Drosophila melanogaster: one gene and its partners. The protein of the gene in region 1 purifies or fractionates together with the protein of each later gene. This does not show direct contact. Each region holds a gene or a part of one and is shown on either strand. Other genes may lie near its edges.

The links.
Region 2: the proteins of CG7702 (region 1) and CG13506 purify together in Drosophila melanogaster (affinity purification with western blotting; one large-scale study listed by BioGRID). This does not show direct contact.
Region 3: the proteins of CG7702 (region 1) and CG4781 purify together in Drosophila melanogaster (affinity purification with western blotting; one large-scale study listed by BioGRID). This does not show direct contact.

What each region holds. Positions count from the first base shown.
Region 1 is NT_033777.3:18,665,744-18,676,126, reverse strand, and holds CG7702 (uncharacterized protein), read right to left. Parts: upstream 6,738-10,383; 5' UTR 6,565-6,737; exon of another isoform or gene 6,429-6,564; intron 4,990-6,428; 5' UTR 4,777-4,989; coding exon 4,753-4,776; intron 4,449-4,752; exon of another isoform or gene 4,392-4,448; coding exon of another isoform or gene 4,212-4,391; exon of another isoform or gene 4,033-4,211; intron 3,306-4,032; coding exon 1,716-3,305; 3' UTR 1,448-1,715; downstream 1-1,447. Other genes in the region: dind (diamond), read left to right, coding at 1-998; CG31230 (uncharacterized protein), read right to left, coding at 4,212-4,391; CG31229 (uncharacterized protein), read right to left, coding at 7,100-7,255, 7,325-7,518, 7,905-8,142; CG31231 (uncharacterized protein), read right to left, coding at 8,502-8,905, 8,970-9,066, 9,135-10,383.
Region 2 is NT_033778.4:22,380,467-22,387,732, reverse strand, and holds the start of CG13506 (uncharacterized protein), read right to left. Parts: upstream 4,600-7,266; 5' UTR 4,539-4,599; intron 1,360-4,538; exon of another isoform or gene 1,339-1,359; 5' UTR 1,269-1,338; coding exon 1,205-1,268; intron 339-1,204; exon of another isoform or gene 205-338; intron 151-204; exon of another isoform or gene 1-150. Other genes in the region: wrapper, read right to left, coding at 5,367-5,566, 5,625-5,759, 5,824-6,333, 6,402-6,881.
Region 3 is NT_033778.4:24,638,827-24,645,162, forward strand, and holds CG4781 (uncharacterized protein), read right to left. Parts: upstream 3,414-6,336; 5' UTR 3,387-3,413; coding exon 1,977-3,386; 3' UTR 1,857-1,976; downstream 1-1,856. Other genes in the region: CG3640 (uncharacterized protein), read left to right, coding at 870-1,004, 1,080-1,835.

The DNA of each region.
Region 1 (10,383 bases):
TCGACAGCCTGGTGAGGCAGTTGGTACAAGAGGAGGAGCAGCACTTCAGTAATCTAGCATTAGCCCTGCAGAACAAGAAGCAATTGGAACTGGCTGAGCTGAATGCGACTAGAGCAGAGCAACAGCAGAGTGGACCAATTGCTGTGCTGCAGCACTCCTCGCTAAAACTAAGCGCCTGCATGGTGGCCGTGGCCGCAGAATGTCAAGCTCTGGACGTGACTCTTCAAAAACTCACTGTCACAGAGGCGGCAAAAAAGAACAACTCCAAGGAGCTGGTGGCTGTGGCCAATAATATGCATGGCATCGAAAATGCCTTGGCCGTTTGCTGTGATGATTTCCAGCGATTGATGCTGGTCTACAACAAGTTCTTGCACAGTCAGCTGGATTTGGAAGGAGAGTTGCCGAAGCCCAAGCAGGATCTCGACGATGAATTCCCCGAGAGCATTCTTAGGGTTGAGTTCTCGCAGAACGTGGATGCTCCGCAGCAGAGGGATGACTTTTATGCATACATGTACGATGAAAACGAGGAGCAGCACTTTGAAGCTGAGCAGAATGCACCGTTTCCCTCGCCGGAAAAGGAACTGCTTAACTTCGAGAAGCGTATTACCAAGGGAAGGTTTAAGCCTGTCCTCAAACAGCTGAAAGATCGCATCGATCCCATCAGACAAGTTATGCTGGAAAAGGAGCGTGAGGTTCTGGCCTCTAAGGGCATAAATGTGGACGAGCTGTTTGGCAAAATGGAAAGAGTCGAGCAGCAGCAGGAGGACAATCGCTTGGCGGATGCCGCACCCTTACCTGTCTACGAATCCTCCAGCAACTCAGATTCGGACTCTGCTGACGAAGAGGCATTCAGGCGACGCAGCAAACAGCACAAGGAGCGTGATAATTTTGCTGAAATGCGTCAATTTCTTGCTCAGAAGCAGGCTATTAATCTGTTTAAGCTACCACCACCACCTGTGGCCGCCGGTGGGGAGGAGCTGCTTGAAAGTGAATGCTAGACGGGCTGGCTGGCTGTTTGTTTTGTTGTTCACTAGCCTGTTATCTGGATATTTGCTCTGAATAGTTTAAGCTTTTATCATTTATCTAGCCAATTGGAGAGATAGACCGCTCGCCAAGCGACGCCACATCACCCCGAACACAACTTTCTGCCTTTCGGTTGTTCCTCGTTTTGATGTTCCCTACCATTTTTATAACTAAATAAAACATAGCAAAACAAAATAAAACAAAGCAATGAATAAATGTTATTAAGTAGGCCAACTCTACATAATACATATGTGAAAGCAATTGGAAAAAATTCATTTAAACTATTTGAATCGGCAATTCGTTTTGACACTTGCGTTTAAGGAACTTAATTACACTTTTAATTAAAAATCATTGTTAAAAAAAAAACATAAGTTTGGCAATCACGTTACCGATATATGTATACTCTATGTAAAGAACTGTAATTGAAATTAAAAATCTTTTATTACACACTAATGTGCGGATCTTAAGTACAATACACAAACATCGATGGCTTCACTAAATACTAGGGTCTAGGGACTGGCAATGGGATCAGCTCCTTTGTGGAAATTAATACAGGGAGCACCTACATATGTACAGGATAGCACGCACAGGAAGTCTTTCGGTTGGGATCGCGTCACTGTCGTGGACATCTTTGGCTCGAAACTTGTGCAGCTAGCTCGGAATTTGAACCGTATTAGGATTTTAACACCGTGTTAGGCATTGGCAGCACCAGTGGTCACCCCACTGCTGCTCCCGGCATGAACATTATTGAACTTGCTGGCCACCGAGACGGGCTGCAGCTGCGAGAACTGCGACAGATTGCTGCCCCTAACGCTGGTGTACCGGATGGGTTGTACTCCGTAATCGCTGCCCTTGAGCCGTCGGCGCACACAGACCACGACGAATCCGATGACCAGACCAATTACCAGGACAATGCTGGCTATAATGGCGGTGAGTATTATGTAGTGGCGTCGCAGGAATCGCGGTGGCTCCTCGTCCACCTCGCGATATTTCTTGGGTATCACCATTTTGCAAATACGTTCGGCTGTCAAATTGGAGAGCGGAGATCCGGCCAGAAGGTATGGCGTTTCACAACGCGCCTCAGTTCCATCCCATTCCCGATCGATGTGGTTCAGTCCAATCAGCTCCAGGGCTTTGAACAGTTCGCAGCTGCAATACCAGGGATTTCCGGAGATGCTCATGCGACGGAGTCGTGGCCAGGTCTCATTCGTAGAATTACTACTGTTATTGCTCGAACCGGTGGCATTGATAACCAGAGTAGTCAGTGCATTCCAGGACAAGTCCAACTGCGACAAATTTCGACTGCTCAGAAGATCGGCCAACTCCAAGCGCTCCAGCTTCGAGTTCCTAGAGCAATCTAGGTGCTCCAAGGCAGGCAAGTTCAGAGCACCCTTCTCCAGACTTCGCAGGGAGGGCATGCTACTTATATTCAGTCGTTTCAGGGAAACCAAGCCCTGCAGGCTATTCTCCTTCAAGCTGAGAAATGCATTTCCCGCCAAGTTGAGTTGAACCAAAGATTTGCCCAATAGCTGCAGGCTGGCTGGCATCGTGGAAAACTCATTTCCGGAGACGTCCAGGAAACGGAGGCTTGTGAGCTTCGAGAAAAGCTGCGCTGGCAAAGTCATCAGGCCATTGTGCGAGAGATCCAGTCGCTGCAGTGTAGCAACCGATCCAATGGAGGCTGTGGTGGCTTCATCCAGGGAACTCAGCTTGTTGTAGGCCAAGTTCAACTTGGTCAAGTGGGGAGTGTGCTCGAAGAGCCGGCGATCCAGTCGAACTATCCGGTTGTGGCTCAGGTCCAGGTCTCGCAAACCAATCGGCTCGTAGCGAGTGTTGCGGAAAGGACCCCTGAAGAGATCCGGCACCAAGGCATCGTCAGTTATATCATTCCAGCTGATATAAAGGGCCTGCACATTGGGCACGTCCATGAACAGCGGAGCCTGCAGATCCTGTAGGCCACAGTGGCGGCAGGAGAGAGTTAAGCTGGCATTTGTGGCCGGCAGCTGTTGGAGCAACTTGATCCTATTGCCCGAGTACGAGACGACAATCTCCGATGCAGCTCCGGACGCAATCGCCTGGCTGCCAAACTGCTCCGGCCAGCGGGCCAGGATGTGCTCGAAATTCCTCACCGAGCAGTCCAGGTTGAAGTGCGTCCGATGATCCACATCCTGGGTGCTGAGGCACAGGCACGTCTGGCAGATGTTGCTCACCGGCTGGTACGGAATGTCCTCATGTTGGCTCCGAACTTCAGTGGCCAGGAGCAAAGCCGCTCCTGCAAGGAACTAAATGATAATAAGCGCTTGAGTTAAATGATACAATTGCATATATAAATCAAAATAAATTTTTAAGTGCTTTCCGTTTCCTTCGAAATATTGTGGAATATATCTAGTTAAAATCTTACAAGAGTTTTAAATTTTAATTTAAATATTTTTTGGATTGTTTTTGGAATTTCCTCAATTTTTAATAAAAAATCAAATGGGGATCTTTGCTACATTTCGTCTCAAAAAAAAAAGTACTTTAGGGAGATTATAACATTCTCGGAAAAACAACCTGAGTAATATGCACGTGTCCCTTGAAATTTTCGCCACATTTTCCATCGTTCTGACCATGGACAGAGTGTTGTATGTCTGATTTGAAGCTGCTTCTCATATGTCACGATTGCCACGAAGTACAAGTGTTCAGACAGACGAAAGTACTTTGCAAACCAGTAAGGTTGGCGCCATTAATATAATTGCATTGCTGCATCCAAGAGTTCTAAAAAGCTGAGACGTGTAGCGAATACCAATGCAATGTTTTATAGGAATTTTATATAGCAAAAGTAACTTGATTTTCATTTAAGGAACAGTCTAACTGCTAATTGCCCACACATAATTGATTGCATTGAATACTAAGAAAATACGTATACGACAGGGTTAACGGACACAAGTTTGCTTAGTCAACCTAAAAAACTGTGCTCATTTTTTTTTTTAAATCAATCATTTCTGGGTCAATATACAAAACAAAGAAATTATTCTGTCATCGATCGTTGGTCTGTGTACACCGCAATAAATATTTATATAATTAATCAAGTATATATTTTACATTAGCATTCTATGGAACATATGGGTTCTAGTAAGATAACATTGATTGATATAGTAGATTCGGTCAGCCATATTCTACATAGATGCGTCTAGTTTGGTTCGCTGCAACTACTCTCCGAGGAACTTTAACATAATAACATCAAGAACTACATCCTCGGCTTTGTCAATCACACATAAGGAGAATACGAGCTCGGCCATCTTTCTCCAACGATCCCCACGATTTCTGTTCATCTTCATTAGGGTTTTGAAGTAAATTCCGATTGGTATCCGTACTATTGCTGCTTTCATGTGTCTTGAAGACTTGAGATAAATTTGTGGCAAAACATGTTCAACTGATATCGGTGAGTGAAAACTGAAAGCCAATGCGATGTATCTCCAAGTGGAAAACATCTCGACATGACGCATCTGATTGACTCACACAGATCTGATTCGATAACCTATATGGCATCCTAATTTTGTTGTTTTTTTTTTTGGGCCAACTGGCCGTCCGGAAGGAGGTCATCGATGTGCTTCATAAAAAGGTCTCCCCACTTGGGCACATTCAGGAAAAGAGCTTAACGGAAAACACTCTCTGATCCCCACTATCTGAGCCCAAAGTATGTGCGATAAGATAGGGATACTGTTTTAGATGGCTGAAATATTTACTCACCAACAACAGAAGTTTGTGCTTCATTATGGTATCGGTTATATGTAGATTCGATTTGAGTTTCGGTTTCGGTGTTTTCCAACTCAGGCGTACTGAATTTCGAGTTATGTTGCTTATATCTTTTGAGTTTCTTGTTCTTGCACTTATTTGTCTTTTGATTAAATTTTTATCCAGAACATTTACTTATTACTTTTTAAACGCAGCACACGGCAAGCGTACTGCATGCCTCGCAGTATAGAACTAAATATATGAATCAAGTAAAGCCGCCGTGGACTGAAGCATTATTTGTTTTGATTAGATATCGGTGGGCAAGAGAAGAGAGTCTCTCTCGGGGCTCCACTCCCTCATCCTACCTCTATCACGCTCTCTCTCCCACGTTCTCAGTTCTGAGATCGTAATCTAAGCCGTCGGTAAAAATGAGTAAAAAGTAAAAGTGAATTCTAATTGAGTCATCAACGGACTCTTCTGCCTTTCTGGCTCTCCCCCTCTGCTTTCTCTCTACTTCTATGTATATTTTTCTTTGCAAGGCCGTCAGATTGCTTTGCTGCTTTCTTCGTCAGCTAATTGCTCGTAGCCACCTGCCTAAAGTGCAATTGCCTCTCGAGCATACAAGAACTACAGTATTGCACCCCTACGGCGAATTTCAGTATCTCTAAGAAATGAAATAACAATGGATCTACAATTGAATTTCATCAATAAGTTGTATCTTTTAAATCCAAAAGTAATTTCGTTACTACTCTCGATTATATCTCATATTTTTCTAAAGAATTGAAAGGAATAAAAACAAATCAGAAGCCAACATTATGTTGTTATTTTTTTCTACATTTATTGTATATTTCTTTATACAGTACTCAACATTAGCATTTCGAGCTATAGAAGTTTTACTGTATTGTTTGGCTTCGAGCAGATTGCGCTGTGATAAGATAAGACTTTGTGTCTCGTTGTGGGAAAAAGTTGGAGCCAAATAATTAAACCATCAGTTCACTCAGCTTAGCCCCACCACATCTGCTCCAAATGACTTTTGATTCAATGGCCGAAGGAGAGCCAATTAGATGCGATCGCAATTGCAAGTGTCACTTGGTTCCATTGAACTTGCTGACGCCTGGCATCGGGAATTAAGAATCGAGAAATGAGAAACGAGAGCGAAGAATGGAGAATTGAGCTGTTCGCAGCTGCCGACGATGAGAAAGGCAAACAAGAAGTGTTTGTGGCTCTGGAATTGGTTGCATAAACAAAATACTGACGAAGTTAACCGAACACAGCCAGACGACCAATGTTGCCCAGACACTTGTGACTCACGATCGCATTGGAGGCAAGTACAGTGGACATCGCATAGATTGTAAGTATCTATTGTGGTAGCTTTTAAAGTCGTCACAATGCACAAATGTAGCAGCTCCAATACGAAATATTTCTAATATCATTTATACCTGTATCTACCTAAAAAGCAGTTTCATTAGAATGCATTAATATTACACTATCTTTTAAATGTCCCGCCTTTGATGTTCCTAGCAAATGCTATCAGAAACTAGTTCCCCGTCTCACTTCTTATCCGATGTCCACTGTAAACGTTCACCTAAGAGATTTGATCTCTGTCGCCTCGCCTCCAATAGCGTTTCTTTCAAGAAACCGCAAGGGTGGCGGACGAGACGCACATCCGTGGCAAAGTTCCATGTGCTTACTAGTCGTTAGTCTGTGTTTAATTTAATGATGAAGGCTTTTGCATATTCCGTGAACTGCACGCGACCCAACCGCACACACAATAAAAGTAAATGTCCGTCGAGTGCGAATGAAACCCGTTTGCGTTGCTGCGGTTACTGCTGATCTTGCCGATGTTGCTGCTGTTGCACTTTTGCAGCTGCTTGGGGAACGATGCTCATCCTCGTCTGTAGAAGAAACACGCGCGAAGGCTGATGTCGAAAACGGAAACGTTAGCGCAGAGGAGCCAGCAACGAACGATCTCTACCTGCCCGCCGCTCGAGTCGAACTGAACAAAAAAACCGAAACTGGAAATTTGCTGCTGGATCGAGATTCCCGTTCGCGTTCCCACAAAAGTGGACACAGTGCTCCCCCGAAAAGAAAACCGGTCGGGGGCTCGCTGGCCGAATTTTAAAGCGAGACTGTGGCACATTGTTTATGCCACACAGTGCCTTTTTGATTGGGGCGCATTATTAATGTGTGGCAGCTGCACTTTTCCAAATGTCAGGGCTCCAAATGGTAGCCAACCGGAAATGGGGGCCATTATAGGTCGTGACGAAAGCGTTTCCTTGGCGGCAATTCACAAAAGCATATCCATAGACGTTAGTTAGAAACAAACATTTACTACGAAACAAGGTAACCGAAGAATATGAGCCTATCTAGAATACATGTAGTAGTCGATGGCCGTGGAGAAGGCGGCGAATCCCAGGCCGCCGATGATGCCCGCCTTAACGCCAGCCCGCAAACCAATCAGTCCTCCAGTGATGCCTCCAGCGTAGGTGCCATTCTTCCAGTCCGTGACGCCCCGATGCTGCAAAAATCAGAAGGAGTTCTAGTTAATACAAACTAATACACAACGCTTTTGAGCAGGTGGACTTACGCTCTCGATGGTGCACTCGACGGCGGAGAACACACAGCCGATGAGCGCGAAATTCTTCGCGTAGGAATGGGTGGTGGAGCGCATTTCGCGGAAAACCTCCCTGGCCGTCTGCTTCTTCTCATTCGCGAACGGATCGGCCATGTTGGGATTAACGGAGGCGCTAAACAAACCCAAAGCTGCACCCAAGCCATAGCCTGAAATGGAGTATAGATATATGGTTAACATAAATTTAAATTCTTACATTTAAGTTACTAACAAATACTGAATCTGAACAAATAAATAGAATATTGTAAAAGTAAATAACTCAACATGTTATAATTTGATTAGCTTTTTGTAAACATTTCATTAATTAACCATTAATAATAACATATAATAATCAAGCATGATTGGTGAATCGAATTAAGAGGTATTGTTATAAAATAATAACCATGGATGGATTAAGGACATATAGGACATATATTCAAATGTCCAATGACTTGAATATGCAATAATCTGTCATAATCAAGAGGGGATTGTTTTGCAAGTGGTTGTTTTGATTATGAACAATTAGCTTGTAGTAGTAGTAGATAGTGTCACCCACCCATCACACAGGCCATGGTGCATTTGAATCCACAGCTCTCCACCGCCGTTTCGATGAACTTCTCCTCGTTGGTCTTGATCTTCACGGGGCCGTTGCTCTTGGGGATTATGATGTTCTCGCGGTAGCGCTGCATGTTTCCGACGTACTCCATCGCCATGCGATCCAAATCCGGATCGCCAAACATTTTGGGCGCCGTCACCGACGATTCATTGTTTCCGGCGTTGGGCAGCACGGACATCTTTGCTATTTTATATAGATTTTTATTCACAAATGCAGGATTTAGTTTTGCGCTAAACGTGTTGTGTAAAAAAAAAACCAAAATTATTATCACATCGCCGAACAGCTGGTTGCCAGGGCTGAACTATCGCAGCAACGAGTGCTTATCGACAAGCAGAAAAATACCATCCGCTATTATCGATTGTCAAAAGAAACCTGAAATCGGCGGGGAAGTACCTTTTTAAATTGTTCTCCTTCGAAAGCTTAATTTTTCGTTACATTACGTTTAATGTTCAACATTTTCACACATGGGTGACAGTTATATAAGGTACACTCAAATTTATTTGTGAAAATCCTTAGAAAATTAGAAATGCATCCTAATTAACTAAGATACCGTATCGAAAAACTGGACTGGTACTTGGAGTCTTCGCAGGCGCGAATGCGTTTACCCAACTCGTTGCAGGTCTTCTTCATGGCCTGGATGTGACTACGGCGGGCCTGTATATCGGCCATGCACTTATCGTAGTCGTACATCAGGCCCGGCTTGAACAGCAGTCCGCCCTTGGTCTCCAGCTTGTCCCGCTTGGTCTTGAGGTCGGCGTGCTCCAGCTGCAGCCTGGTCAGATCCTTGCGCAGCTTGTTTCGCCGCTCGAATCGATCTATATACTCGGCCCTCGCCTTGGAGAGCATGTAGGAGATCATGTCCCGCTTCTCACGCACGCACGTCTCCTCTATCATGGACTTCTTGTAGTTCGACTGCATGACCGCAACATCCTTGCACTTTTCTATACAATTTATACGCAGGTGAGTTTAACGATTAACTTAAAGTTCTAGAGTTCATCAATTTACCCTCTAGTTGCTTGCTCAACTGTATTATGGATTCGTTGGCGCACAGCATTTGCGAAATGGTCAGCGTCTCGGTAACACGCTCGAATTTCATCACTTTCTGCGAGAGAAGAATATACTCGTATTTTTCCAACAAGATTGTAAGTTCCTAGCATCATTCGTCCTTACCTCATCCACAAATGCCAGGTTGTGAAGGTTCAAGTTGAGCTCGTAGCGCTTCTCGCTGATCTGGTTGCGAAGATCCTGCATGCGCCTAAGATCGTTGTCCAGGGCGCGCCTCAAGCGATCCATGTCCTTGCGGATGAGGGTCTTGCGCATGAATCCCTCCAGACGCTGCTCTTCGTTGAAGGCGAGAACAGAATACGAGTTAAGCTCCAGCATGGCGCGCGACGCACTGTGTCCGTTCTTGATCTTGATCAGCTTTACCCGCTCCATCAGATTGTCCACCGAGTTGAGGGCATTCATGTAGCGAATAAACTCGCCAGCAGCATCTTCCGGTGGCAGTGGCTGAAAGTTGTTGAACTTGCGATTGCGACGGAAGTAGTCACAGACGACATTGTTGAGGAGGGTGTTTTGGTACTTCTCGAAGGTGTAGTCGTCTACCAGACGCTGCAGCTCCAGCAACATCTTGCGCTTGTCCAACAGGTTCTCCTTGTTCTTCTCGGCGTTCTCCGCATTTTCCACCACGGTATTGATAAGATTGTTCAGGAAGTCGACAGTGAGGCGATACCAGAAGGGCTCTTCGACGGGGACGTGCAACTCCTGGTGGGTCTCCATCTCCGCATCGACGGCCTCGGTGAACATGGCCATGGTGTCCACTTCCTCCCCAATGACGACCTGTTTTTCTGTCGGCTCTTGCTCATCCGGCAGATCATCCATCAAAATGGAATCGTCGTCCTCTTCCGACTCAGCCGCCGCATTTATAGCAGTGCTAGCATCCTTATCGGAACCCGAAGAGCTCCCCGACTCGCCCTCGCCGGCATCTGTGCCATCCTTGTGAAATACACCATCATCTGTGTCCGCCTTGGTGTCGGATTTGTCCTGAGCGCTTAACTCCGGTTCAGGTTCTGGTTCCGGCTCCGGATCGAGTGATATATCCGATATGCTTGGCAAACTTTCAAATCCGCGGATAAACTCACTCTTTATGGACACTCCCAGCCTGGGCAAGGGCTCATCAAAGCTGCCTTCCGAATCGAGATCCTCTTCGATTTCCTCTTCGACGACAACGCTTGGGGGCTTTTCGTTAAGGATGGCCTTTATATCTTCGAAGTCATCTTCGGAATCCTCTCCGCCCGATTCCACGGAATGAAGTTCCTCCTTGTCCTCGTCTTCCGGCATCTCCTCAGATTCTATTGGAGCTTTAGCCAACGCAGCCTTCGCAGCCTCTTCCTCGTCTTTTTTGGCAAGCCTTTCCTTA
Region 2 (7,266 bases), on another chromosome or scaffold:
GGTTGTTTTTGTAGGCCAAACAACAAGCTAGAGTATTCTTCAGCACCTAGAATTTTGATATATGAGAAGGCAAAGTTCCAAATTCCCTGGGGCCCGTGGCTTTTAGTTTGTTTTTTAATGGTATTTTCGGTCATAGGCCTTATCTCATGGCTAAAATTGGACGAATTTAATTTTTAATTAAAAAAAGGAAGAATATATGCGTACCAATATCGAAAAACGTATCTACATATGTGTGTATGTATGTATGTACGTACATATGTATGATTACATCTGGAGCATGGGGGCGTTTTCACGTCCCAACAAAGTTTACGAGAAAATATTCAACATTAAAATGGCATTCTTTGCACAGCATTCGTGTATGGCAAATATTTATTCAACTCGCTGGGCGATATTCATTTTTTATTCGTATTCCAGAACACATGGCACCCGGTTTTGGATACTGGGTGGTAGGTTTTCCTTTACCGAGCCAAGGTATATATGTAAGTGTAGTGGAATGTGGAGCGTTATCAGCAATTTGCGCCATATTTCAAAAAGCGAATGAAACTTAACTTTCAGAGCGGTGGTAACTCTCACGAACGATAAGATATACTTGTTTTTTTCCAACAGTTTACGCAAAAGATAACGCCATACGCACGTGGCTCACACCTATATACACTAAAGACTATAAACGAGCGTATCTGGAGCTTTCTGGGGAGTACGAATGAGTAGAATATGTTAAATGTATGTGAACGTGAGGGCTCGTATCTGGGGTGGCGTTGCTCATACTTATTTCTGAACGAACCGCAGTTATTCATAATATCTGGAAATTACGTAAACTCATTGAGGCGTGGAAAACTCTTTAAACTGACATAGTTTTAATCAAATTTTCATTTGACTGCTGCAAACCAGATGGGGTATATTAGCTTGATGTAATGCAGATATATTCTTGCTGGGTAATATAATTTGAAAATATTGATTGGTATCAACCCAATGATGACCCAGTTTTCAAACAGCAGTTTTATGTACAACTAGGCTTCTTCTGCCGCACTTTCGAATCTTCGTATCTCTACAAGAAGTCGTAAAAATATTACACATCCATTACAACTCTCTCCAACTTTCGACTCTTAGATTCGATTTAAACACTTCGGTGGCAATCAAATCGTATCGCGCTTTTCCGAATTAGTTCTTTGTTTTTATAGGCCATTAGATTGGGTCCTTGACTTACCGTATAGTTGTCCAATTAGCAGACTAATGAGCAGCAGCCTCGTCGAATCTCTCGCCTTGATCATGATGATTGGTGTTTGTTTGCCTGACTGGGTTTTGGTGAGTTCGTTTTATCGATTGGAATTTGGTTCGGAGCTGTCGGAGGTAGGTCGTTAACTGCAATTAATATGGTTGGTTCGTACTTAATTAATTTGCTAAAGCCATTATGTTACTCCCGATCGGGAACCGCAAAAACCACCGAAATACAATTTACTTTTCGGCTTTATGATTTCTTAATTTCGCTTATCGTTTATTTCGTGCATTTTATATACAAGTCGCGCCGCGGACCGGAAATTTCTAATTGGCTTGGACAAAATGCATGGAAAAGCGCCAACTACAAACGATTTTTTTCGCAAAAAAAAAAACCAAAAAAAAAAATGAAAAAACATATGGCAGCGTAAAGAAAATATTGGACCGATCTGTAAACATTGCTCACTCGCTTGGCCGCATTATGTTATGCAAGCCGCCAGTTGTATCTGGTGGCAATTTGCTCTCCGTCGATAAGTTGTATCTTGAAGATATTATGATCTCTACGCGAAAAATGGCCATTTGCTAGTTTAGCTACTAATTTGCAGCTCACAATCGCGTCCCTCTCTCAAGGTACAGTGCAAATTCCTTAGAAAAACAATCCATGTTTTTTTAAGTTTAAGCTCTGATATAGGTTTCAGAATGTTTTGTATATCAAAAAGGTTATTTTTAAATCAATCAAATAATTATATTGTTTACATGTGTGATGCTGTGTGATTAATAGACATTTTTATATGAATAACTTTGAGTATTAATTTTTAAAATGAGAACTTCAGAACCCCTTGCATCTCTTGCCGATTTCGTTTTCTAGGCTTATGGAAGTTCGACTGTATATTTCTCTTTGGGGCTGACTCAATGCCAGCCGGCCAGTAAAGTGGGTCGAAGTGGGGGCTTTGGGGGTGCTGTTGGGTCAGGGTGTGCCAAGTCGAATAGCATGCAAATGTTTATGCATATAAATAAATTAATGTGCAAATGCGAAAAAATTGTACAGCACGAAAAGTCGATGCAAAAACCAAAAAAAAAAAAAAAAAAAAGTACACAAAATTCGGGCTGTTGATATAAAAGCCGTTTTGCAAATGGCGGGCATAGCTCACCCATACAAACAAACAATTTGCATGTGCACATATGTGCACTAAGTTGTTTATATGCTCGACTCATAAAACAAACAATTTTGCAATGCCTGATGATGATCATAATCCATCGCTGATGCATTTGAAAAAAAAAAAAATTTGAACATTTCGCAAGATTTGGCGGGCAAATAGTCGACTTATTGATTCTCTTTTTAGCACTAGATTGATGGAAAGCTTTCACACTTCTAAGTAAATAGAAACCCAATCCGATCCCTTAGATCATTTTAAGAAACTTTAGAAGTTACGTAGCAAATGAGTTGAAGACATTTTGAATATATGTACAAAGTACCATAAAAATATATATTTATTTCAATGGTTACTTTTGCTTGGAAAACTCAATGCATCTTCCTGCCATCTGCTGCTGTTTGTAAATATTTCCCTTTTTTCCCTGCTTCCATAAGCATCGCTGAACAAAAGCTCCCTGATGAGTGAGAATTTCCGCACTCACTTGTGTTGCTGAGTTTTCCCCATCCAGTATTTTATGGGTTGTCACCTGAATAGACGACACCTCAGATACAGATAAACGGTGTGTACTGACGCTCGTTGGCACCTCCTCCATGCGGCAACAACCTCTAAACGGAATTTACGCCCCTCCAGTCTGTTTATCAATTATAAAAAATCAAAGGAGGGAGTAGGTGCAACTAGGTTGTTTTCTACTTGATACCCTTTAATGGGGTATTTTAATTTATAAACCTGATGCAATAGAAAAATTCTAAGCTGAGCGACTTCAATCATTTTTGACATGTTAATTGGCCATATAGGGAATAATTAGATATACTTTCTGTGATGAAAGCCACGCGGGGAATTATCTAAAACACATTAATTTCCTGTTTAATATTACTTTGTAATAAAACGAATGCATTACTTTGGCATTATAGTTTTTCAATTCCTTGTCAAATTAAGATTAAAGTTTGACCAAACTTTTCAGGGTATTTAAGCTTCGGATTGTTTGGTCAAACTTTATTCTCGTTTTTTGTGAGTTCTTTTACTAGGGTTCTCTTTAAATCAATGCCTTGATTGTTGTTGTTTTTGTCTTTGGCGCTTTGTTTATTTACATTGCGCTCAAAGTTAACACACACAGGCGCACACACTCGGTGTGCACTTGTGTGAGTGGGGGGAGGCACAGATGCAGCTGTCTTGCATCCGTTGAATGCTTTTTGGGGGATCCCAATTGGAATTGAAAACTTTTCTGTTGTTTCTTCCCGTTTTTTGCCTACTCCCAATGTAAATAAAAACATGTATAGAAAATTTGTTTTCCATTCAGCGTTTCTGTAAGCATTTCCCTTTTTCTTTCCGCTCCCAGCAGCTGGTCCCTAATTCCCCACCCCCCCCCCCCCTCCACCTTTTTCACAGCCTGCTCTACAACTGGCTGCTTTTCCTCTTGCATTTTCGCTTTCATTTGACCATTTTCCTTTGCCATTTATTCTGTTGTTTGGTGTATTTCTGTTGCCGGCACAACGGCAGCTATTTTACATATTTATACATATTTATAGAATGTGCAGCAAAGAATCTGCCAGCGAAGAAAGAGCGAGACGGCCAAGAATTGCAACTGAAACCGAATTTGAATTTGAATCTCTGCCAAATGGGCTCCCGAGGAGCAGGATAAAAGTGAAGATATGGAGCACATCTGCTGGCCATTCTGGCCATATCGTAGGCCATTTTCATGAATCATCGCCTGTCGTTTTGGCCCGAAGACGAAATCACAAAATCTTTTAGGTTTCGGCACAGCTTCTCAGGGCCGCCAGAGTTACAGAATGGATGCGGTGCGCTGCGTTCGAGATTGTTATTTTGTTTCGTATTTATTTTGCCCGGAGAGCCTAGAGGAGGAAAACTGGTTTCTGGTCCCCAGATACCGACGCGAGATGAGTTGAAATTCGGCCGAAGCGGTACAAAAGTGGTTTCTTCCTCTTCACCCTTTTGTTTTTCCCGATTTTGGTACGAATTACGTTTAAAGCACTCGCGCGTTGGTAACGCTTTCGCCCGCACGCCATTTCCCAAGCGATTTGTACACGTTTTAGCCAGGTCGAATGCAAACGTTTACGTTTACAGCTGTCGGTAATTGGCCTTAAGCCTAGGGTTTTGCGGGGCACTAGGCGCTAGGCAATGGCTATTGGTTCAGTTGGAGCTGTGGATGGAGACCTTTTTTCTGCGCTGGGGCTGCGTGGAGAACCGAACGCGAAGCTGTTCAAACGAGAACTAAAAGTCGAGCGCGTGCTGATGCCAAAAGCACTTCGAAACGATTGGAATAAGCGGAACAGCTCTCTCCATATCTCTCTACACTTAGTGCTTCGCTCTCCGATGCATTGGGGCCTTTAAATAACAGTCCATTTGCAGAGAGAGGGAGAGAGAGTTCGGATAATGAGAGAGAGAGAGAGAGAGGGAGAGGGAGAGAGAGCGGGAGTCTTTGGGTCTTGGGGCCTGAAAGATGCGTTAGCTGTCCGCAATGTCACTGCCAATTGAAGTTTAAAGAGGAAGCCCTATACTGAAAGAGTACCCTCGAAGTTGTTTGCTGGGGCTTATGGGTTCATCAATGCAGAGATTTTCTTTTTAAAGTTACCAAGTCTTCATTTAAACATATAACACATACGCACTGTAGGCCGCCTATATACATATTTTAACTCCTTGTAAGTTTAAAATTGGTTCTTACGCTTTTTTTTTATATTTCTATTTATGTTGTCTTTCGAATACATTTAATACTAAAATTACAAAATAACCTTAGTTTATTATTTTTTTTTAGAAAAAGGAAATGCCATCGTTTGACTTATGTATATTTCATTGCAGTCAATGATAAATATAGTATCATAGTCACCAGCATTACTTACTGTTTACTATGATACACTGCTCAGAAAAATGTTATCTCACCTTTTTTACGGAAGTATTATTCAACAAAAGCAATCTCAATATGAATCATATATGCGCTATCGCTAACATTGAATGTTCATTTATTAAGATTTTTTAGGATTAGATCTAACTTATTAATCGTAATATATTTATAAGACATAAGGAATATATAAAGGCACTGATTCCGCCGCGCCCATTAACCGAGCCCGAGTTGAACATCATGCTGGCCGATAGAACCTCAGATCTCTGGGTGATTTCGTTGTGGAAGTCCTCTTCGGTAAAATCGTCCTGAAGCTCCGATTCAGTCGAGTAGTTGGGCAGTTCAACTGTGGAAGTAAGAGGACAATTAATCAATGAATTCATATGTAATTTGCATTAATTCACCTTCTCCGCCTGTGGCAAAACGCACTATCTTGCTATTGTCGCTCCAACCAAAGCTATTTCTGGCCAAAACGGAAACTTCGTAGAGACTAGCGGGCTGGAGGCCATGTAGAGTGTATGTGGTTATATAGATGAGTCCTAAATAAAACGTTATGAACATGAAAAGAAGAATCTAAGGATATAAGCTTAAGAGTATCCTTACCGTTTGTGGCCTGAGCCGGGATCGTGAGCTCTGTCCAGTTGGTTCTAACCTGGCGGGTGACATTGTTCGAGGGGATCTGTCGGAACTTGAGCTTGAACTCCATGATCGGTAGCAGGCTCTCGGTCTGCCAAACGAGGACATGCGACGTGGAGCTCTGGGTGCCGGGGTTAATCTTAAAGAGGCAGGGCATCGGACGGCCGGTCAGCTCAACACTTCCGCTTTTCACGGATATCTGATTGCTGGCGCGGCACTCGTACTGCCCCATATCCGCGTTCCTCACGCTCTTCACCACCAGCATGTGACGCACGGCGTTCACGTAGTGATCCACCGACCGGTTCGTCTGCAACTCCGACTCGTGAGTGGTGGAGTGGGCTCCCAGTGCCACCGGCAGTCCGTGATGGAACCACTTAACCGTGGCCGCCGGTGCCGCCTCCACAATGCACTCAAGATGGGCACGGGAGCCCAGTTTGGTGTACACCACGGGTTGGGGTATGCTCACCTCGGGCGAAACTGTCGATTCGAGAAGGTCAGTAAGTTAAAGTTAATTGCTCAAGTTGACTTGAAGCTTAATTACTCACATAGCACATGGAGATAGACATTGGCCACCGCTGGCTCACCCACTCCATTGCTGGCCACGCATTCTATGAGGCCCGCCTGGTTCCTCGATTTGATCTCCAGGATGAGGCTTTGCCGATTCCCCGTGTTGCTCTGTGGCTGGATGACATTGCCGTTCAACCGCCAGGTGATGACCGGTTGGGGCACTCCCTGGGCCTCGCACACCACCTCGAAGATTGCACCTATCCGCTGCTCCGTGAGATCCGATGGTTCAATCAACACCTGTGGAGCCAATTGCACTTCGATGGCGTGCTGCTGGACCACATGACCCGAATCCGAGTTCATTTCGCAGTAGTAGTCCCCGGTGTCACTGGACTGCACGTTGGCCACCTGCAGGCTGCCATTCGGCCAGAGCATTATGCGATCCGGCGGCGGGAGCTCCGGGTGTCTGGAGTCCACCAGAGCCACATCGTCCCGATGCCAACGGACGTAGCGGAAGGGAGCTGGGTATGTGAGGTAATAAATTTGATGAACTTATGTGTTTTATTTTTATGTTTTCGCGAATTCCATTTTTATCTACCAAATATTTAAAAGAACGAAACAGAATTCAGCAGAATTGTATCTCGAATCTTAACAGTTATCTGGCGCTTATCTCACTGCCAAGATAAATAAGAATAAACAAAAGCATCCGCTCGAAGCCCAAATTGTTTGCATTGATCATCGATATATGAACAATAAAAAGTATACGTTGTTTTAGCTAACGAAAATTTCTATACACTAAGCAGATCTATTCAAAATGTTATTGTTTTAAAAACAGAAATATACTTTATCAATCCCGGATTATTTATACCATACTATATTACTTTAAAATGTAACTAATAACTTCTA
Region 3 (6,336 bases), on another chromosome or scaffold:
CGAGCTAGTCATTGATAGATTGTCGTAGTGAAATGCAAATTACTTGTCAATAATTGCCCCACAACTGGCCATAGAAATGCGAATTATGAGGCATAAAGGGATGGATTTACAACAAAGTTTCTACCGATATGACCAAACTAGTTATTACTTTAATTTCCTTCTGCTTAAACTCTGAATATAATCCAGAATGGCTCCTGTACAATATTTATTCTTTAATCATGAGCTGCAACTAGTAGTGGTGGTATGAGCAATCCAAATTTTTCGGATCCCCTATTAACTAATTCATGAGCTAAAAAGAACGCCGCCCATTTTGGGCACCATAATTGCCCGTCAGATATCGAAATTAATAATGCGCACCATACTGGTGGGTGGTGTCCAGACGGGAAAGGCAATACAAAAAATATTTATTTATGCGAATTCCAGTTTCGCGAGGGTCGTAAATCTATCGCCACCCTCGCAACTGAAGCTGTTGGTCCGAGTATTTATGACGCGACTATTACATACTGTATTATTATTATTAATGCCGCGCACAATGGAGTGCTGCCAGTTGGTCGGGCATATAAATTCTAGTCACCCCCGGCCAAGGACTCATCGCAAGTGGCATATCGACAGGCTTAATTCAATTCAATTGGGCTTAAATACGAGTAGGGGGACAAATTAATTAATTTTTTAAAGCCTACTTAAAAACCATTTGTAGTTGTGAAGATGAACTGTTTATTGCTTTGACTAGCCATATATCATCTATACACATTCGTATGTATTATAGATTTGTTTTCGCATTTTTGGGATTATTAAGCCGTGAAAATGGTAATTTTCTGGCCTCGTACTGATTGACTTCAGAGTAGATGGGCTCCCTTCTACAGTCAACAATGTTTTCGATCAGAGTGTGGTTCATCTGCCTGGTGATAGTTACCCTCAACTCCTTTCCCGCCTACTCCTGGGATTATTGCCAAGAGCACTGGTGTCCGCGTTCCACCGACCACGTAGCGTGCAACAACAACGGGGTAAGTGGTATATACGTATACGTACGAATTCCTATACGGATCCTCATAAAATAACAAATGCCTTATACGATCCAGACGTTTGGCCTCGATTGCGGAAGGGAGGCCAGGCTAATCCCGCTCAGCAATCAGTTGCAGGCGTTCATTGTGCACCAGGTAAACTTCTATCGCAACCAGGTGGCTTCGGGCGGACTCTCCGCCTTCGGACCCGCCCGCCGAATGGCTAGTGTCCGCTGGGATCCCGAGCTGGCACAGCTGGCTGAGCTGGCGGCAAAGAGGTGCAGTTTGTCCGGCGATGGATGCCGCAACACCAGGCGATTCAAGCACGTGGGCCAGCTGACGGGCCACGTAATCTTCAGTGCGGGAAAGCACAGCGACTTGGAGCTGCTGCGCCACAAGATCTCGAATTGGTTTGGCCAGTACATGAGAGCCAGCAAGGATCTGCAAGCCGCCGATCCATCAAGCAACATCAGCAGCTTCCGGCAGTTGATACAGGAAAGCTCCACCCACATGGGATGCGGCGTGCTCCGCCAGAGGAGCCACATGCTGTGGCACCAGCAGTTCATCGTCTGTAACTTTGCCCGTAGGAATATGCCCCGCGAGCAGGTCTACCAGGTGGGCGTGGCTGCCACAGGATGCAGGTCGGGAAGGAATCCTCGCTATCCCAATCTCTGCGCTCTGCAGGAAGAATACGATGTGAACGCCGTCGACCGTTTTCACTCAAAGCGGCCACTTAGGATAAGGTTCAAGTACAGCGCATCCCATCCATCGAAAGTTTTGGGTGCTGATCGTGATGTAGCCTTCCATCCCAATATCAAGTTGGGACGTCTTTAATATATCTGGAGCTGAGTGGGTACTTTCTTAAATATATTTCAAATGTAACTTCCACTAGATTAAAATGCTTTACATTTTCTGTTTGGCGATTTTACAAGATTGACTACAAGAACTTAGACGGTACTAGGTACTGGGCGACACCTAGTGGGGATTCTCCTGGCGATTGGGCTCGATGGTGACGCGGGCGTAGGGACTGCCGGCACCGACCTTGCGCCGCATGGTGACTCCCCGATGGGGTCTCAGTCCCATGACGATCAGGTAGATCCCCGCGGCGCTGAGGGCGATCAGTGAGAGCACCACCAGGCCGTAGGCCCATCTCGGCCAGGTGTCGCAGCTGAAGGCGTCGCCGCGGGCTGAGGTGACCAGCATGCCACGGATGCGGGCCGGCTTGTAGCAGCGCCCGTTGGTTTGGACCGGCAGCTGCTTCAGCCAGACGAGCTCGCAGTCACACTGCAGCGGCAGACCGTTGAGATCCAGTTCGGCAAGCTGAGTAAAAATCGGCGCCAGCGTGGAATTAAAGGTGCGCAGCATAGTGCCGCGAAAGCTCAGCGACCGCAGAGCTCTTTTTTTGGTGGGGGTGGTCATGATGGGTCCAAAGGCCTCCGCGTCCAAGTGGCTAAGCTGACGGCTGTTCTGGAAGCTCAATGTCTCGAGGACATCTACGTGGGTCAGGGAATTGGCCACCACCCTCTGGAGCACCGGCATGTCCTCGATAAAAAGTTGGCGCACCTGGGTGAGATTAGCCGTGTCCTCCGGCAGCAGCTCCTCCAGCAGATTGTCGCTAATGTCTAGGCGGAGTAAAGTCTCCGGCAGCTGTGTGGGAATCCGCTTCAACTGGTTTCGACGGAGGGAAAGCTCTTTCAGAGGTGCATTTACGGGCAGGTGAAGATCATTTAGGCTACAAGCGTCCAGTCTTAAGGTGGAGAGTTTCCAGTTCACCCCGAGTCCGGTGTATAGATCCCCGCCAGACTCGTTGAAGCGTCGATTCCAAGAGATGTCCAAGGTGCCCAGGACCAAAAGCGGGGCAAAAAGATGACCGGGCAGCAAGTGCAGATTGTTGTGGGCTAGGTCAAGGACCTGCAGATGTGGCAATCCGTCAAAAGATCCGGACTCTAGTTTGCCAATGCTGTTCCAGCCCAGATACAGCTCCCTCAAACTGGTCAGTTGCTTGAAGTTTCCGGACACCAACTGCGAAATGTTGTTGTGCCTCAGGTTCAGCTGGTGCAGACTGTCGCTAGTGAAGATCGGTACTGAGTCCAGGGCGTTCCAGGACAGGTCCAGGGAGTCGATGTACAGTGGCAGCAGCAGGGAGAGATCCGCCACCTTGTAGTCCTTGTAGCTGCAGTCGATGCGCAGGGCTCGGTTTCCCCAGGGAGAAGCACTCACGTTGCTGCACTCACAGGACCGCCGGGAGTTCTTCGAGGACTCCGGGTAGCAGAAGCGATCCGTCTCCTCCGCATCGATGACCTCCGCCCGGGCGACGTGGGCTGCCAGCAACTGCGTCAGCAGCAGGGCAAAGGTCAGCCCTCTTATAACTTCCAACCTCGCCATCGTAAAGGTTCTCGGTATACTAAATGAGTGGGTGAATGGCTCGCAGCTAGTGCCACTTTCATATCTTATCGAGTGGCGGAAAAGCTCACACACATTCTGAGTCGATTTTTCCAATAAATTTATCAGCAAAATGCTTTGGTTGGGTTAGTCATTGAAATACATTTGGCCAGCGAGCTTGAGTGGAGGGTCCGAAGCCCCGGGGATTTGAATTGTTGATAAGATAGCACGGCGAAGCTTTACCTTTTTATCTTTCCCTCTCTCAGCAAATAGCTCCCCGCCCACGCTTATCGCCTTTGCAGCTTTTCTTATCACCCGATATCTTTCATTAATCATTTCCCACACTACGAGACTGCGAGTTAAGTCAGATTCGCCGTATTGATGGATCTATGAAGCCGCAATTTCACACTTCGAGGAGTCGAGACTTAGTTTCGATTCAAAAGTCATGTCTAATCCCATCGGGATGGAGACTTATCTAGCTCATTGCATCCAAAAGTCGGGACTTGAGCCCAATTCGTAATTACGCCTAATGCTTTTCGCTGGGGCTTTATGCTGATTGCTGGATGTGTCGAGATGATGTTCTCCAACTCCTGGGATTAAATGTGCGGTTCCCATGCCGCCTAATTGCTGAGGTCGCGAAAGGAACTTCCGTAGGTAAAGAGTGTGCCTTTTAAAGTCTACTATTTTAAAGGTGTTTCTTATACTTGAAAAATCAGAATGGTTTCGAAAGGAGCAAAATAATTCAACTGCAGACACATTTAATTGGGTGACTAAAGTAAATCATTTCAGAAAAGTATCTACTCGTCGAGCTTCACTCTTAAGGAGCTGCCCTAACGAACTTTATGGTGCCCTATTTACATTCGCAATTGCTGTGGAACTCTTCTTTGTGTCAATGGAAAATTGATGAGGCTTACATAAGTGCACAGGCTCACCAGAGCAGCCACAGTCGCCCACTGTGGCATAGGCATTTGCATAAATTAGGGGCTTCCAGCACCCATCCCTCTAGCAGTGACTTTCCATCTTGACTTTTCTACAATTTGAGCTTGGGTTTGGGGGAAAGCCAACACATGTAAAGCATTTAATGAGCTGTGTGTGCTTAAATTTATTGAAAATGCCAGGCACATGCTGGTGCTGTACGTACGTATTCGTATTTGAATTTGCCTCCATGTCATTATTACAAGCAAAAATGTATTTTTAACTAAAATCCCATTAATTACGGGTAATGTGGGCTCAGAGTACGTGTGTGTGTGTGTGTGAAATAATTACGGCATTACGAGCAATTTAATTAAAGCCCAATTTTCGCACATCTGCAATAATGGAATTGTTAATTAATAGCCCGAATCAAAAACGGTCATCAATTGGGGCAGCTGTCGAGTTAGAAGGCACTGGCTGTCGTTCTTGTGGAAATCGGGAAATAAAATCCCTTCCAAACGTGCCAAACATGGCAATGCCAGCGTGGTTCTGCCGACTCGCTGTCTGAATATTTATGAAAATTTTAATATTAAATTGCTTTCTGATGGCCACCGCGAGCGAGCGAGAGTGCGAGAATGGAAACTAGAGCTGGCAATCGATGGCAGAAATGCAATTTCCCGCCGGACAGAATGTGAAATCATTAAAAGCGCTTGATTATCCGCAGGCGAGCGCATTGTCCTGCGCCATCCTGCAATTGACTATAATGATGCCAGCCGAGTGTCACAACAAGTATATGTATGTATGTATGTGCCTAGCCGACGACAGTTTATGGCGCCCTAATTGAATCGCTTGTCATGCATTTGTCTAATAACGGCGCATTAATTCGCCATAATGCGGACCGGCTACAGCTTCCGCTTCCCGGAAGTCGTCAGTGCCGCTGCGGCTGATGGCGCCACGTGACCTGTATGACGGGTATGGGCAAAGGACTCTCACAAGGATTCCAGCCCAGATGTATGCTAAATATTTCTGTCATGGCCTGTTAACTCGGGACCAAGTGTGCAGCAAAAAGCCTGCACACTCGCTCGTTTTCTAATTGCCTTTGAAAGCGCTTCTGTCACGCAATTTAAAACTCGCAATTCCGGCGGACCGGGCTAAATTCATTAGTCTGGCTTTAAGAGCACCCATTAACCCGCATACCCGTGCACACACTCACACACACTCACTCACTTGCGGTTGGCATTGGGTTGGGATATCACTCGAATTCGCTGCGCTCAATTTAATCGGCAAATTTAAAGAAAATTATTGTCTCTAATGGGCAGACGTGCCCACAGAATGCGACCTTTGACCGCAGCGGGCAGAAGGCAGTGGGCCGGAAGCCCCAAGGCGGCAGTATATTGGATCTGGCTCAGATCCAGCTGATAACAACTGAATAATGAACAAATAATGGCCGGCAACCTTCTTGCCTGCTCAAATATTAAGTATACGCCGGGGAAGCCCACGAGTGGGTAGCAATGTACGAGCATTTCCCTGAAATAATGGATGAAGAATGGATGTAATGCTCAAACTTACAAGCCCAATAATCCGGAACATAACTCAAGCTCAAGAGAAGAGCTCCGATTTTAGTGTTAATTAGGGAAATGTATGACGTATTTGAAATGTTCTCTTAGCAGCTGTGTTAAATCTGATTATTTGAATAGTGACTTTATGCATTATGTTATTAATTAATTTTGGACTTAAAACATTTCTCGTTAGCACAAGAAACATAAATGAAGACCTTTCGCTTTGCATGATTGATTGCTCACACATGCCCTAAAGATATCCTGTAACTGAGCGCTCCCCAGTTTCTGTTTTGAATAATCATTTCCCAATTGTTATCCTTTGGCTTGCGGTTCCTGTTCGCATGGTATCCTCTCCACATTTTTATAGCCAGCTCCACGAAAAAGGCAATTTGCGGCATGCAACTTTTGTTGCTCCACTGCCAACATGCGAGAGCTGGCTGGATCGGACTTCCACTCCAAAAGTGTTGCTCCAGATTCGTTAG